Linked DNA regions of Alligator mississippiensis. The protein of the gene in region 1 interacts with the protein of each later gene in a pairwise test. Links are inferred from orthologs where the notes say so. Each region holds a gene or a part of one and is shown on either strand. Other genes may lie near its edges.

Region 1 (7,851 bases):
TGGCCTGACTCCTATTGTGTACAAACTTCTATTCAATTAAGCCTCCTGAAAACTAAAGGCTTTAAAAGATTGTACTTTGATAGTCCTTCACCATTCAGGGGGGCTGAATAAGGACAGCAATACCATGCTCCAGAAGCTCTGCAGCATGCGATGATCCCATACCTATTTTGCCAAACAGAAACAGCCCAATTTTGCCCGAAGACAACATTTACCTTGGACAAAGCCAAACCAAATGCTGCTGCTTGCCTTCTTTAAACATGGGAGTGGCTGTGGAGACTACAGGCCCTAGCATGCTATGAGCTAAACAGATGACCTTCTGGATTAAGATGCAATACTGAAGGCTGAGACCTGTAATTTCCAAGGGGCTGTGTAAAAATAAGCAGCTGTGCGTCACATTGTATGATTGCTATGGATGCATTTAGCTTATTGATCAGCCTTGCTCAAATACAATCACTGTATGCCTACAAGATAAAATGAGTTAGTTTGTGATAACATTTTATGTTATGGGATGTGAAATGTAATCATACACTTCTGGTTTTAACTTCTTGTTCGTGTATTAAAACTACATCATTGCTAGAAGAAACATCACCTCTGAAACACGTGGATGGTGCAAACTACTGCAAAGGGCATCCTTCACACTCTTGAAATCATTTAAAGAGAGGTTAAATAACTTGTCCAAGTCGCTACAGCCAGTCCTCACCAAACCTGGGATTAGAATTCAGCAATCTGCTGCTGAGACTGTTCGGCCATGCTGCCTTGGCTCAGAAATGACATCTTCTGGGGCAAATCCTGATCATACACCGAGATTCAACACACTATTTCAGACTTGTGTCTGAACAGTCCTTACAGCTTTAGGATTTCAATCCAGTAGAGCCCTGGATAAGCAGATTATTAACTTTATGACCATGTACACGGTAACTGGGCCAACCAGAATGAAGGAGCTTTTTGTATTCAAGCCAAATTTCTGCAATGAGACCTTTAAACTTCTCATTTCTGTGCGATCAGTTATCTAAAAGAATCATTGGAATAACTGCAAATGTGTTAAGGGATAGAGGGCAAGAGGCCATCAGGATAATCCATCCACTGGTCCCCGAAGGCAACCTACACTATTACTGCACCGATTTGGGAGCACTGTTGTGACATTTGCTTTACCAAGGTTATATTCATTCCTGTGTGTAAGGGTTTAAACACACTCATACAAAAGAAAATCAGCTTTAAGCACTTGACTAATATATGCAGGGATATCATAATTGAAAATCACAGCCTTCAAGCTTTAACACATTGCAAAAGCATTGGTTTACACCATAATCCATAGTGTAATTACACTAATTGTGGAGGTGGAAGGATTTCTATTGCATGGATGTTCCCCACTACAGTTCCCCTTTACACATCTGTCTGCGCTTAAAACAGAGCAAGGAAATGCATGGATACTGCAGTTACTTCAGGGAGTCATCTGAAACCAGTTTACCATCTTCTCCCAGCATGGAGCTGCCAGTCCCTGCCCCCCCCGCCCCACGAATAAAAGATAGGCATACCCAACACAAGCCACCCGAATCCCGACCTCAAGAGTCCCAAAACGACTCCCTTCCTAACCCTGCTCCTCCTCAGCACTTGAAGGCCGTGAGTGCTGGTCTCCAAGGCTCCCCGAGTTTGGGGGGGAACATTACAGACGCGGCTGTGGCAAAAGAAACAACTGACTAGAGGCACGGCGCACGTTTGAATACCGACTGCACGCCGCAGCGACGGCCTGGACCAGCCCCGCTTTCCCCCGGCTGCAAGCAGAGACGGCTGCGCTGAGCACGGCACCGCAGCAGCTGACACAATCACAAGGCAACCCCCCTTTTTTCCAGCTCTGCGCACAAAAGTATTTTTAAGCCCCCCCAAAGGCATCGGGGGCTGCCTACAGCTGCGGCCGGGCGCTTCCACTGGGCTGTGCCAGCGCTCTGCCAGCAGCCGAGATGCAGGATCCTGCCTCCGGCGTTAGGGCTGTGTTGCATCAAGCTTGTCTTACGCACAGTTGAGATGGTTGCACGGGACGGTCTGCACAGGGGTTGGACAGGCCGGCCGCTCAGGGTCCCACTGATGCTGTATTTGGGGTCAGGAAGGAATCCCCCCCCCCCCCCCGACCCCAAAACCAGACCCCCAAAATCAACCCCCCTCCAAAACCAGACCCAAGAAAAATCAGAACTGCCTCGAAAATCAACCCCCCTCCAAAACCAGACCCCAAAAATCACCCACTCCAAAATCAGCCCACCACTCCAAAATGAACCCCACGCCAGTCAGACCCCAAAAGTCAACCCCCCTCCAAAAATCAGAGCCCCCCCTCCAAAAAACAGAACCCAAAATCAACCCCCCTTGAAAAAAGTCAACCGCCTCCAAAAATCAGACCCTAAAATCAACCCCCCTCCAAAACCAGACCCCAAAAATTGGACTCCAAAATCAGACCCCCCCCCCAAAATCAACCCCCCTCCAAAAACCAGGCCTCAAAATCAGACCCCCCCTCCAAAACCAAGCCCCCAAATCAGACCCCCCCCTCCAAAAATCAACCCCCTCCAAAATCAGACCCCCCCTCCAAAAATCAACCCCCTCCAAAGTCAAACCCCAAAATCAGACCCCCCTCGAAAAATCAACCCCCTCCAAAACCAGACCCCAAACTCGACCCCGCTCCATAATCAGATCCTCAAATCACGCCCCCCCCCACCCAGGTGCACGCCGGGGGGCGGGGGGAGGGGTGCCGGTCCCTTACGTGCTTGAGGCAGCGCTCCTTGAGCTTCTCCACCGTGGTGTCCTCCGAGACCTCCTCCAGCCACTCCGCGCCCTCCGCGCTGCAGACGTGGAGCCGCAGCACCTTGCCGGCGAAGATCTTCTCCTCCTGCACGAACATCGCCGCCCGCTGCTCTCCTCACCGGCCCAGCGGCATGGCGGCGCCCCCGCCGCGCTGAGGGGCCCCGGCCCCGGCCCCGCCGCCCCGCACGGCTCCTGTCACGGCCGCGGCCCCTGCTGAGGGGACCAGCCCAGCGCCGGAAGTCGCGGCCGCGCTGCATGCTGGGAGCCGTAGTCTCCCCCTCAGCCGCCTCGCTCGCGGCCGGAAGTGGCCGCGCACGGGCTGCCGGGAGTTAGGCTGCCGCCGCCGCTGAAGTGCCCAGTGCATGTGGGAGTTGTAGTCCCCCCGACATGGAGACTGGGAAGCGCTGCGGTGCATTATGGGAATTATAGTCCCCCAATATGGCGGCGGGGGGGCGCTGCGGTGCATTGTGGGAATTATAGTTCCCTCCAACATGGAGGCTGGGGTCATTGCGATGCATTGTGGGAATTATAGTTTTCCCCCAACTTGAAATATGGGAGGCTCTGCGGTGCATTGTGGGAATCATAGTTCCCCCCCCCCCAATGTGGAGGTAGGGAGCCGCTGTGGCGCATTGTGGGAATTATAGTCTCCCCGAATATGGAGGTTGGGAGCCGCTGCGGTGCATTGTGGGAATCATAGTTCCCCCAAAACATGGAGGCTGGGAGCCCTGCGGTGCATTGTGGGAGTTAGAGTCCATCCTCTTGAAGGCCCCGGGCACAGAGTGGGGAGGAGGATGGATGGTTCCCAGTGCACTGTGGGAATTGCAGTCCTCCCCCCTCCCTGGGCCTACAGCGGGGTCCTGCCAGCTCCCCTCCCAAGGATGGCAGCCTGCCCCTTCTCCTTCCCCCATGTGTGCTAGAAGCTCTCCCTCTCCACCCCTACATCCACCTTGCCCCAGTGCACCATGGGAGCCGTAGTCCCTGTCAGGCTATGGAACCCACCAGGTGCATGCTGGGAGATGCAGACCCTGCAGGCAGGGTGGCTTCAGATGCATTGTGGGAAGGGGCACCCTTCAAAGGATCTGGTGGCACCCTAGGACCCTGGTTGAGAATCACTGGCGTACAGTGTGGGAGAGTCTCGTCTCACTTTTTCACCCCCGATTCTTTTGTGGACAACATCCAGCGACATTTCATCAATGTGACATCCTGCAATACGTCCAGTTTGGGTTTCGGTCCCTTCACCCCACACCCGTCCACCTTCACCGACTTTCAGAAATCTACCTTAGGGGCTAAGGCTTATGGCGGCCCCTCCAAAATTAACTATATATATAAATGTTTTGCAATTTCTCATCTGGTCCAATAAAAAGTCTCATCTCCGAACCAAGAGTTGTAGATTTGTGCATTGCAGGGTTGATGTTGGGGAACGCAGGTCACAACCATGGACCCCCTGAGTTAGGAGCATCCTAAAATCAACCCCGCTCTGGAGTTAGACCCCCAAATCAACCCCCCCTCCAAAAACCAGACCCCAAAATACCCTCTACACCACTGCTACCAGCACCACTTGTGAATCACATCAGGAAATGGGCTTACGGGCCTTCAGGTAGTGAAACACTGGCTGGGGAATTTTGGATTCACGGTGAAAAATGTTTGTTTTCCCTCCAAAAGTGAAGAAAATATGTTAAAATACATTAAAATAAGCGGAATGATGTTGGAATATACATGCTTTAAATGAAAATGCAGAACCACAAGTCAGACCAGCTGTAACATGAAAATAGGTTATCCTAGAATAATTGGCTTCAGCTGAACGCAGGAAGACAAAAGACAGTGAGAACCACCTTATTTTGTAATGGAAGAAATAGAGAGAGGACTAGTCTGACACCAACAAAAGTCAAATATTGTCTCTTGAACGTAGCCGTTGTTAGACGTGAGGCACCGTTCCCGGACGTCCGCAAATGACTGAAAACGGAAGCTTTGAGACTCGATGCAGAAAAGGCTCTGACTTTTGTGTTCTCCTATTTCCGCAGTCCACGTGTGACTATTAAACAATAAAACCAAGATAAGTTGGCTACTGGTCTGTAAAGAACATTTGGGAACCTGCTTTTATTGAATGGCTCTTTTTGAAGCTGTGGGACTTGATAAGAGCAGCTCAATTTAGCCAGTAGGGGGAGACAAGAAACTGTATTGAGGACAGAAAAGATGAAGAATTACTGGAAATATAAAATATATTAATACTGCGATTGATTTATTAGAGCAGGGGAGGCATATTCTTATCCTTTCATCCTCTTCTCTTGTTTTTCTTTCACTCCATTGTAAGGTCATTCATTTTGCTCTTCCAGTTGGTTTGTGCTGATTATGCCGTTACAAATGAAAAAAAAAAAAGTTAATTTTTCATGTTTCTGGAATTTGGTAGTAATATTTTTGGGGGGGGAAAAAAAACCAGATTCAGTTCAGACCATCTCTTTGTTTCCCTTGCATCTGCAAAAACAGTGTCGTGCCAGACGGACAGATATTCCACAAACACTACATTTGCCAAACCCAGAATTAAAACAAAACATAGTATTTAGATCTAGGTGTCTTCACATGGGCAGCGAAACCCAAAACTGGCTTTTGATCTTTCTATTGAGGTGATTTCTCAAACTCATACAAGAGAACCAAGGTTTCCTGGCTCTAAGTCCCCATTGTAACCAGGAGATGAAACACCGTTTCTTACCTTGCTGCCTGCCTGCATTGAGACATGTTTTACCCTCCCTGTGTCTCAATCCTCCACTGCACCCGGGGCTCGCTTCACTCACTTTCTTCCACCCTTTCTCCGTCTTGTTTATGTAGACTCTGTCTCTCATTCTGTAATTACACATCACTTCATCACAGAGCCACAGGGCCCTGATTTTAGGTGGGCCTCTACATGTTAGTGTAACACAAATACATATTTCTAATTAACATAGGGTCGATCTCAGGAAAAAGAGATTCTAGCGCTCAACCCTTCCCTATGAAAACGAGGCACTCTTCCCTGGACCTGTTACATGCAACATGGGCCGGGAAATTTTACATCTCCATGGAGCTACAGCTGCACCTGACTAAGAATGGGATTTGGCTTTGGTGGTCACAGCGCACAGTGATCATTTGACTCCATGAAATGCAAATGACGTCCTACAAGCCACTTCCTGCTAATGCTGATGCATTTGCCTCCGCTTATACCTACCAAAATGGAAGGTGGTTTTAGAGAGCAGCCTTCATTCTGAGGTTTTCAAGTACAGGAAAAACTCCCACCCTTTCTAAAAAAGCAACATGTGCCAAGAAAAGCTACTGGTAACATATATACCCTGCCTGCTAGTTTACCCACCAGCAGACCAGGCCGGATCTTTGCAAGGTGGAGATTTCACATCTCCGTCTTTACATGATAGAAAGTACTCCTCCTTCCACAGCTCTCTAGCACTTACCCATTTTTATTCTGAAAAGAAGGGAGATGCCCCATTGCTTCCCAGAGTCAAATCCCACTGGATACTATTTAGAGAATACTGTATATTTGCCTGCATGACAAAAATATCTGGGCGCATCCATAGGCATTAAAAAAAAAGTCTCTCTTGGTGCAGAAAATCAAGCATTCCTTACTCTGGACAATAAATCCCAATTGCACCATTAGCACAAGTCTCCAAGCCAAAGAAAACAGATGCATTTTGGACTCTGTCCTGAAGGCCGACAGACCACAAGAGGGAGCAAACTTCCCCTTAGCTGAAAACTTGCCAGCTCCCATCAGCTCTAGGGAAGGGCTGCCAGAGCCTTGCAGCTCACAACAGGTCCCCTTTCCTTATGAATGACCAGTGCTATACGCCATCAACCATCAGGCTATTTGAGCGTGCTATGCGGTGTTCCCTCTCCATGCATACATTGGGATTCCCGCTGTTATGAACACAAGATCAAAACGGGGTGAAAAGCCGACCTTGCAATATTAAGCCTTGCTTTTTAAAAGCACCTTTCACTTGCAATGCCCCATGGCGACAATGCCATTAAACCTTCCCCGGCAGCGATTGTCACTGCTGCTCGGTAAAATAGCGGGTGCAAAAAACAACAGAACTTTGTAGCTTTTCTTGGGGCATTGCCCGGCACCTTGGCCTGGGCGGGCGGCTCTTGGCAGAAAGGACCCGTCTCTGTTTTCGTGGTAGAAGTGAGGGGCAGGAGGAGGGAGTTTGGACTTCACCTCTCCCTGCCCCTCTCCGTGGTGCTGAAACACTGGCTTTTCTCTGAGCCTGTCCGCACCTTGGGGGCTGATCGGACACCCACTGAAGGCCAGACTTCTCCTAAACTTCAGTAGGAGGTCCATTAGTCACATTCACTTTTATTAGGCCAGCTCAAATAGTTGGAAATTTTTTTTTTTTGCAAGTTTTCAGGTATAAATACCCTTCGCCAGACTGAGGAAGCGTCTGCAGTTGGTCTGTGCTCAAACTATCTGCAGAGGCTTCCTGAGCCCGACGAAGGGTATTTATACCTGAAAGCTTGCAAAGATTTTTTCCAACTATTTGAGCTGGTCTAATAAAAGCTATTACATTTACCCCATGAACCTTGTCTACCGATGTCCTTAGACCAACACGGCTACAACCCATATCCATTAGTCACGTTAGTCACTTGGTTCCCATCATATTCTTTACATTTTTAGCTGTTAATTATGTCCTACTGCTGTGGACTGATGTTTGCAAGACCCAGGGTGGCTGCCAGGCACAGAATCAATCGAACCCCTATAGGAACCACTTCTCACACTTTTATTATTATCATCATTATTATTTGTTCAATGGGACTTCTACTAGTTGCACAGTCCTGGGAGACCTGGAAACCTTGTGTCTGAATCAGCAGCGCAACTCGCTGAAATCCTAGCCCTTTCTCTCCCCTAAGAAGGGATCAAACAGCGGATTACATTCAGAGATATTTAAAAGCAATAAGGCAGCACTCAGGTTTCTGCACGGGCCTAAATTGAGCTGGGAGCTTTGTCTGAGTCCACGATTTGGTGGAGTTTCACACAACCATCCAGCTGTTTTATCAACAGAAATCATTGCAGGGCGAGGGAACTTTTTGGAA
Region 2 (7,555 bases), on another chromosome or scaffold:
TTGTGCTGAAACAGCTTGGGTGAATTTCTTAAGCACAGAAAAATAAGAAGTAATGTCCCACAAGCCTGTATGCTGCTTCTAATTAGTCTGTTGGAATCTTCTATTACAACAAACCATGCACTGTCACCACAAAAAATGTAGAGAAGAGGTTTACAATATTTTGATTAACTAGAATTTCTTTTAGCTCTATTAATCCATAGCTGTCAGTACCAAATTAGATCATAACATTAGTAAAAACCGAGAATGCAACTAGACTAAATAATTATGCAGAAAGTACATATACTAACCATAGAAAAGCAGAGTCCAGTCAAAAAGCTTCCTGGACATTTGCCATTTTACTGGGATCACATGCTCACAACAGAAATAGCTTCCCAAGTTTTATGACTGTTTTGAGTGGAATTATCCCCTAAAATTTTACTTACAAGATATCAGAAACTTTTCAGAAGATATTTTGAAACGTTATCACTAAAAGGAAAAATTATATGGAAAATAGCATTTACTATTTGCAAGCAAAAATAAATCTGCTGCAGAAAGGAAGACATGCAAGGCGAGACTAAACCAAACAATACAGGAAAGGTGCATCTTAAGTAGGAGCCCTGAATGAAGTACAATCAGAATGTATTCATTGATGCCATTGCTCTGACTGGCAGACTTATTGCAAAGAACACCCAACATATACCCACCACCTCTGTAAAACTGAATCACACAGATATACTGCAAGAAACTGGATAAAATCAAGGTCTCTTCTGCAACCATACAAGTAGCAAGAACGTCAAATATTTGCACCATTTTTCCAAGCAATCAATTACCTACTTTAATGGCTTGAATACAAACAAATTTGCACCAGTTTACATTACACTAGTTTAGTCAAATAGTGCAACATTGCTCTTGGACATACTTCTTTTAGCATAAGAGAGGCTTTAATTTGGTTTAATGGGAACCCATTCTAAACTAAACTAAACAAGAACAAAACCATTCCCATTGGGGCTTGCACCACTTAAAATCCACAATCTCCAGTAAGGTAAGGCAAGGGGGTTTCAACCAGGACATGCTGATGTTTTTGATGGCACTGAGAAAACAATTTCCCAGCTAGAAGGTCCTGCACTGCCACTCAAGATCATACCAGTAACAAAATTCAAACCCAGCAAAAACTTTTTGTCTGGGCCAGATTAGGAGATCATTGGGGTTACTGCTTTTCTCAACAGCATGGGCATGATCCTTCTCCTAGGATCTTCTGTATATATTAACCAACTGCTTCCAGGTTAACTTAGTAGCAGGGATAAAGGTTGTAGCCATGTTGGTCTAAAAGTACAAGCAGCCAGTGTGGTAGAAGTGGTATTTTTTATTAGACCAACTAAACAGTTACAATTTTTTTTTTTAATTTGCAAGCTTTAAGGCAAAGATTGTAACATTTCTCCCAGGTAGAGTGTCATTGTCGTCCCTGCTTCTACCTATAGCATATCACACAGCGTTCTTGGTATTGTTGGTATGATGCCTTGTAGCAGAGTGTAAGGGGCTGAGGATGACAATGGGGATTTCTCGGGATAACAAACGCAGGCAACTTGACTCTATGGCCCAGGGTGTCCCTTCCACATTATACCAGTATATCCTTCCCATTTAAACAACCCAAAAGTCTTAAATGAACAAACCAGTCTTCTCTATTGCCTGCTTGCCTCACAGTTTGCTACTCTTCCGTAATATCAAATTTTAAAAATGACCTTATTTTCTGAAAAATATCCCAAGCCTCTAGATATTGATTTAAATTTTGGGACACAATTTCTTCTCCAACCACCACTCCAATACAATCCCACAGTCACCTCCCTCCTCCTTATCGCCTGAGTCTCTATGAACCTCCCTCTGCTTATACACCCACTGCCACACATCAGCTGGTCAGTGAGTCTGGTCGATCTGCTGAGGGCAGATTCTTTACTTGATCCCTTGTTTTGCAGAAAGGAACAACGCAGTGGGGGACACCACCACACATGAAACCACCACTATGTTTCTTGAGGTAACTGCAGCTGTTAGTGGGGTTGGGGGAGGCCCGCTCATGCATTTCAGTAGGGACGCGCAGGGCAGTTTGCACTTTGTTTTCAGAGGGGGAGAAAAGACTGACACATTTCAAAGAAAATCCAAGTGTCTGTCAGTTGAGGTGCAAGTGAAAAGTGCAATAACAGCATCCCCATCGCCAGGGGGCCAAAGGCACCACGGGGCTATTTAAAAGAGATGCGGGGAGTCTCTCAGGGCTGCCCCACTCCTGAGAAGACCTGGGGCAGGTCTGCCTTTCTGGGATTGTTTTGTTTCAGTGTTTGTGCAGGGTGGACCAGCACAAGGCCAATCCCTGCCCCTCGAGCCTCTGGCCTTTTAGTAGCTCAGCAATTGAGCACCTCAGGCCTCCTCTGCCATCCCCCGGAGGCGGCTCCTCTAGCCGGGGCGGCCACTGGTCTGCCTGAGCGGGCGGCGGGCGGCGGCCGGGAGGCAGCCGTGCTGCTCCCGCCTCCCCGAGCACCGCGCACCTTCCCGCCGGCCCGGACGCGGATGAGCCGCGGGAGGTGGAGCCATTCCCCACCTCCCTCCTCCGCCGCCACCAAGACCCCGGCACGGGCAGGGCCAGGGCCAGGCGGAGAGGAAGCAGGCAGGCCGCTGCTGGTGGCTCCCGCTGCCTTCGCTGCGCATGCGGCCTGCGCCGGCGGCCTCCCACCGCGGGAAAGCAGCGGCCGCGAACAATGGCGGCCGGGCCGGGCCGGGCCGGGCCGAGCTGGGCCTCCCCGCCGCGGGCCCGGCAGGCGACGCAGCCCCTCGGCCGGGCTGGGGAGGCCCGAGGGGGAGAGGCGGAGGGGAGCCGCGCGCACCTGGTTGAACTCCTCGCCCACGTCGGCGTAAATGTCTATGTGGTCCACGCCGTCCGCCATGATCCCGCCCGCACCTCGGGCCCCGCCGCCAGCCGCGCCCGGCTCTAGCGCTGCCGCCTCCGCGGGGAGAGAGGGGGGCGTGACGTCACTTCCGGAAGGCGACAGGCCGCTTCCGGCTGCTGAAGTAACCACTGCTGCCCCGCTGCTCCGCCTGAGCCCGCCCTCGGCCGAGGGGGCTTGTGGGAGGGCGGGGGCGGGGCAGGCCTGCGCGCACCGCCGCCCCCCACCACCGCGCGGGGGGCACGTCACCCTGAGAGCGCCGTCTCCAATCCGGACAGGCCCCGCCCCCTCCCGAGCTCTCCACGCCCCGCCCCCTCGTCCGTCAGCCCAAGTATTGTCCAGGGCTGGGGGGGTTGTCGCGTGTGTGGGGATTAATTCCATCCTTGTGCTGTTAATATTAAATAGTAAAAGCGTTGAAGCCCAGGGGAGCCCCGCTGGCCTCTAACTGCCCTGCACAACATGGAGTTTCTTTTCTACTTGCATCAGGTATCCAGGTTGTAGCGGTATTGCTCTAGAAGAAAAAACAATCAGGACTCGGAGTAGAGAAGGTAGGTATCTTTTATTAGACCAGCAAGATTTTTGCAAAAAAATTTCTTTAATTGCAAGCTTTCGGGCACAAACACCCTTCATCAGGCATCAAAGAAAAGATTGTAAAAGTTCTCCTGGGTAGAAATGAAAGTTCGTATTTCGTAGGATTTCACAGAGGAGTCAATAGATGGAAAACTCCTCTGGGCAGTCGGTTCATAGCTGGTATGGAGCCTCTCGCCTCCTGTGAGATCTGTGATGAGGATGCAAATCACCTTGAAACAAAGGATCTCAGGTTTCTGGTGGTCACAGTTGCTAGCTGCTTGGGAAAATATGAAGATTTAATTTAAAAAAATCTGGATACCTGATACATGGAAGATATCAAATTTTAGCTGATTTTTTTTCATATATGCAGCAAGAAATCATGAGGTTAAATGTTGCGGTCAAATTCATTAAATAAATCTTCTTCCAAAGAAGAGCTGTAATGCCTTATTTCTTGAGTTGCTGTCCAGTGTATGAATTGTTACCTAATGTTAAGCTTAGCCCTCTTACCTGGTTCCCAGAGTTAACATTTCTAGAACCCAGAAATTAAGTGTAATGGCTAAAATAAATTGAGTCCATTCTAAACAATACTGAAATTTCCTATTTAAGAGAACTATCAGATCTACAACCTGTTCCAAAAACTTGGTATTTCACTTAGAAAAAAAAAAGTCAGATAAGGTGATCTCGGTCTTCACATTTACCTTGGTCTTTACAGCCAAGGTCAGCTCCCAAACTACTACACCAGGCAGCACCGTTTGGGGAGGTCAGCATCCCCCAGTGGTGAAAGAACTGGTTAGGGACTATTTATTAATATTGGACGTGTACAAGTCCACAGGGCTGGATGCAATGCATCTGAGGATGCTGAGGGAGTTGGCTGAAGTGATTGCAGAGCCACTGACCATTATCTCTGAAAACTTGTGGCAATTACAGGGGGGAGGGGGTGGTCCCAGATAATTGGAAAAGGGCAAATATAGTGCCCATTGTTGGGGGATAACCCTATATGGCTCACATGTGCCATTTGGAAAGGGACCTGGGAATATCACTGCCACCTACCTCAGGTGTTCTATCCTTGCCTGCCACATCTTGATGGAACTTCTTATCAAAAGGTGGATGTAGTATGAAGGCAAGATTCCACTGAGTCCTCCAAGGGTTTTCTTCACAGGACTCCTCTTCCCCTTACACCCCGTCCTTGCTATCCCACATCAGATGGCAAACGTCATGGTCTGGATCCTGCGTGGAACAGCTGTACCTCCGGCAGCTATTCATTGGCTTAATAAATGGTTGTGTTTGTATACTCAAATCACTTGATTCAGGCACCACAAGGCCTCCAACTTTAGTCAGTTCCCAAGAGACCAAGGATCAACTTCACTATATCAATTCATTGAATAGTCCATCAAGCAAATAACTTAAATCAATTTTCCTCCAATTCATGGGACAATCACTCCCAGTCAAGTAATTTAAGGCTCACGAGACAATCAAATTAAATTCCCTGCACATACACAAGACAGACAATGAAAATTGGTTTGCCAGGAACCTTTAACTTGATCAGTCTTAAATTAACACCTGTCCTCCATGCCTGGTTTTCTTACTGGTACCATGGCTCTTAATCAAACTACCTCCCCTCTGGCTTGGCTTTCCTGGGGTGGGACAACCAAGGTTTCTGCAGGGTAGGGGCTCTTCTCTTTCTCCCTGTACCCCAGTGCAGTGAGGAGATGAAACAACAAAAAAACAACCAACAGGGAAAAAAAAAGGGTGGGGAGGCTGTACCTTCAACAGCTTCCGGGCTCATCCAGTGATGACTTTCCCTAGTCTCTCTGTCTTTGCTGGCTCCTTGCTGTGGTCCTCACTGCCACAGCCCTCTGCTCACCAGCTCCTCACCATTCCCTCATGTTCTGCTCTTGGGCACAGATGGCTTTAGGACTCTGTGAGCTGGGTAGGTCTCCAGCATCCCCTTGCCTAATCCATCAGTGTCCTCTCCCAGCTGCCCCTCTCTGGGACTGGAAATATTCTTCCTCAGGCTCCCTCCACCAATCCAGAGGGAGCAGGAACTATGGAAGCACATCTGCATCAGTCTTGCTCTGGTCAGGGCCACTCCCACACCTGCAGTGACTATTTCCCTCCCCCCCTGCAGTAACTCAGGCCCTCTTTTCTTTTACTTTCTCACACCCATCTTTAAGAAAGAGAAGAAGGAGGATCCAGGGAACTACAGACCAGTCAGGCTCACCTCAGTCCCTGGAAAAATCATGGAGCAGATCCTCAAAGACAGGACTGGTCCGTCCTATGCTGCAAAACCTGCGGCCACAGGGGACCCCACAGCTAAGGGCCCTCCTGAGTCCAGCTGCTTGCCACCCCTCCCTCCTGCCACCAATGACACTGCCACCACCGGCTTCATGTCTGGCCATTCACCACCCCCCGCCACCACTGGCTTCTTTGGCTGCTCATCGCCCCCCCTCCCCCCCCCCCAGCCGCCACAGGGGGCCCCAAAACTATTTCTTGCAGGGGGCTCCCAAAAATTGTGGGCTGTCCCTGCTCAAAGAATCCCTTCCTAAGCAATTGGAGAAGAAGTTGATTAGGAACAGTCAGCATGGATTCACCAAGGGCAATTTATGCCTGACCAACCTGATTGCCTTCTATGATGATCTATGGCTCTGTTGATGCAGGGAAAGCAGTAGACAAAATATACCTTGACTTTAGTATGGCTTTTGATACAGTCTCCCACAGACAGCATTATTTTAAGCAACTGAGGAAGTATGGGTTGGATGAATGGACTGTAAAGTGGATAGAAAGCTGCCTGGATTGTTGGACTCAACAGGTAGTAATCAATGGCTCGATGTCTATCTGGAAGCCAGTATCAAGTGCAGTGCCCCAGTGGTTGGTCCTGGGGCCAGTTTTGTTTAATGTCTTCATTAATGATCTGGAAGATGGGATGGATTGCACCCTCAGCAAGTTTGCAGATGACACCAAGCTGTGGGGAGTAGTAGATACACTAGAGGGTACGGCTAGGATTCAGAGTGACCTAGACAAATTGGAGGATAGGGCCAAAAAAATTCTCATGAGGTTCAGCAAAGACAAGTGCAACGTTGTGCACTTAGGACAGAAGAATCCCATGTACTGCTACAGGCTTGGAACCAACTGGATAAGCAGCAGCTCTGAGAAAAAGACCTGGGAGTTACAGTGGACAAGAAGATGGATATAAGTCAGCAGTGTGCCCTTGTTGCCAAGAAGGCTAACAGCATACTGGGCTGCATTAGTGGGACCATTGCCGGCAGATAGAGAGAAGGTATTCTTCTATAATATTCCACTCCATTCTGCACTGGTGAGGCCACATCTGGAGTACTGTGTCCAGTTTTTGGCCCCCTACTATAGAAAGGGTGTGGACAAGTTGGAGAGAGGTCAGCAGAGAGGGACAAAAATGGTTAGAGGGCTGGGGTACATGACTTATGAGGAGAGACTGAGGGAACTCGGCTTATTTAGTCTGCAGAAGAGAAGACAGAGGAGGGGATTTGATAGCAGCCTTTAACTGTGTGAAGTGGGGTTCGGAAGAGAATGGAACTGGACTGTTCTCAGTGATGACAGATGAGAGAACAAGGAGCAACAATCTCAAGTTGCAGCAAAGGAGGTTTAGGTTTGAGATTAGGAAAACTTTCTCACTAGGAGGATGGTGAAGCACTGGAATGGGTTACCTAGAGAGGTTGTGGAATCTCTATCCTTGGAGGTTTTTAAGGCTGGCTTGACAAAGTTCTGCCTGGATTGATCTAGCTGGGGATGGTCCTGCGTTAAGGAGGGGGTTGGACTAGACTAGATGACCTCCTGAGGTCCCTTCCAACCCTAACTTTCTATGATTCTAAGGCTTTGCTGAGAGATAGACACTGAGATATTAACTGGACTGTTGAGTAAATGAGTAAATTTTGAGACTAACAGTGTTATTTCTCACCACAGATAAAAAATACAGATTGAGCTCTGCATAAGCCATGTTTGAATAAAACAACAGCACTTCAGAGAAGATCTCTCATATAAAAGTGTTAGATATCCATATTGGGAAAAAGGTGAAAGTTTTGCCATTATATGAAGAAGCCTTA

What was found.
Region 2: the proteins of UBAC1 (region 1) and CPSF6 interact in a two-hybrid assay, tested with the Homo sapiens proteins (2 studies listed by BioGRID and IntAct). The link is inferred for Alligator mississippiensis from reciprocal best matches to the Homo sapiens genes UBAC1 and CPSF6.

What each region holds. Positions count from the first base shown.
Region 1 is NC_081835.1:63,767,370-63,775,220, reverse strand, and holds the start of UBAC1 (ubiquitin-associated domain-containing protein 1), read right to left. Parts: upstream 3,013-7,851; 5' UTR 2,885-3,012; coding exon 2,747-2,884; intron 1-2,746.
Region 2 is NC_081827.1:69,658,179-69,665,733, reverse strand, and holds the start of CPSF6 (cleavage and polyadenylation specificity factor subunit 6), read right to left. Parts: upstream 3,005-7,555; 5' UTR 2,910-3,004; coding exon 2,850-2,909; intron 1-2,849. UniProt on the Homo sapiens protein: Component of the cleavage factor Im (CFIm) complex that functions as an activator of the pre-mRNA 3'-end cleavage and polyadenylation processing required for the maturation of pre-mRNA into functional mRNAs.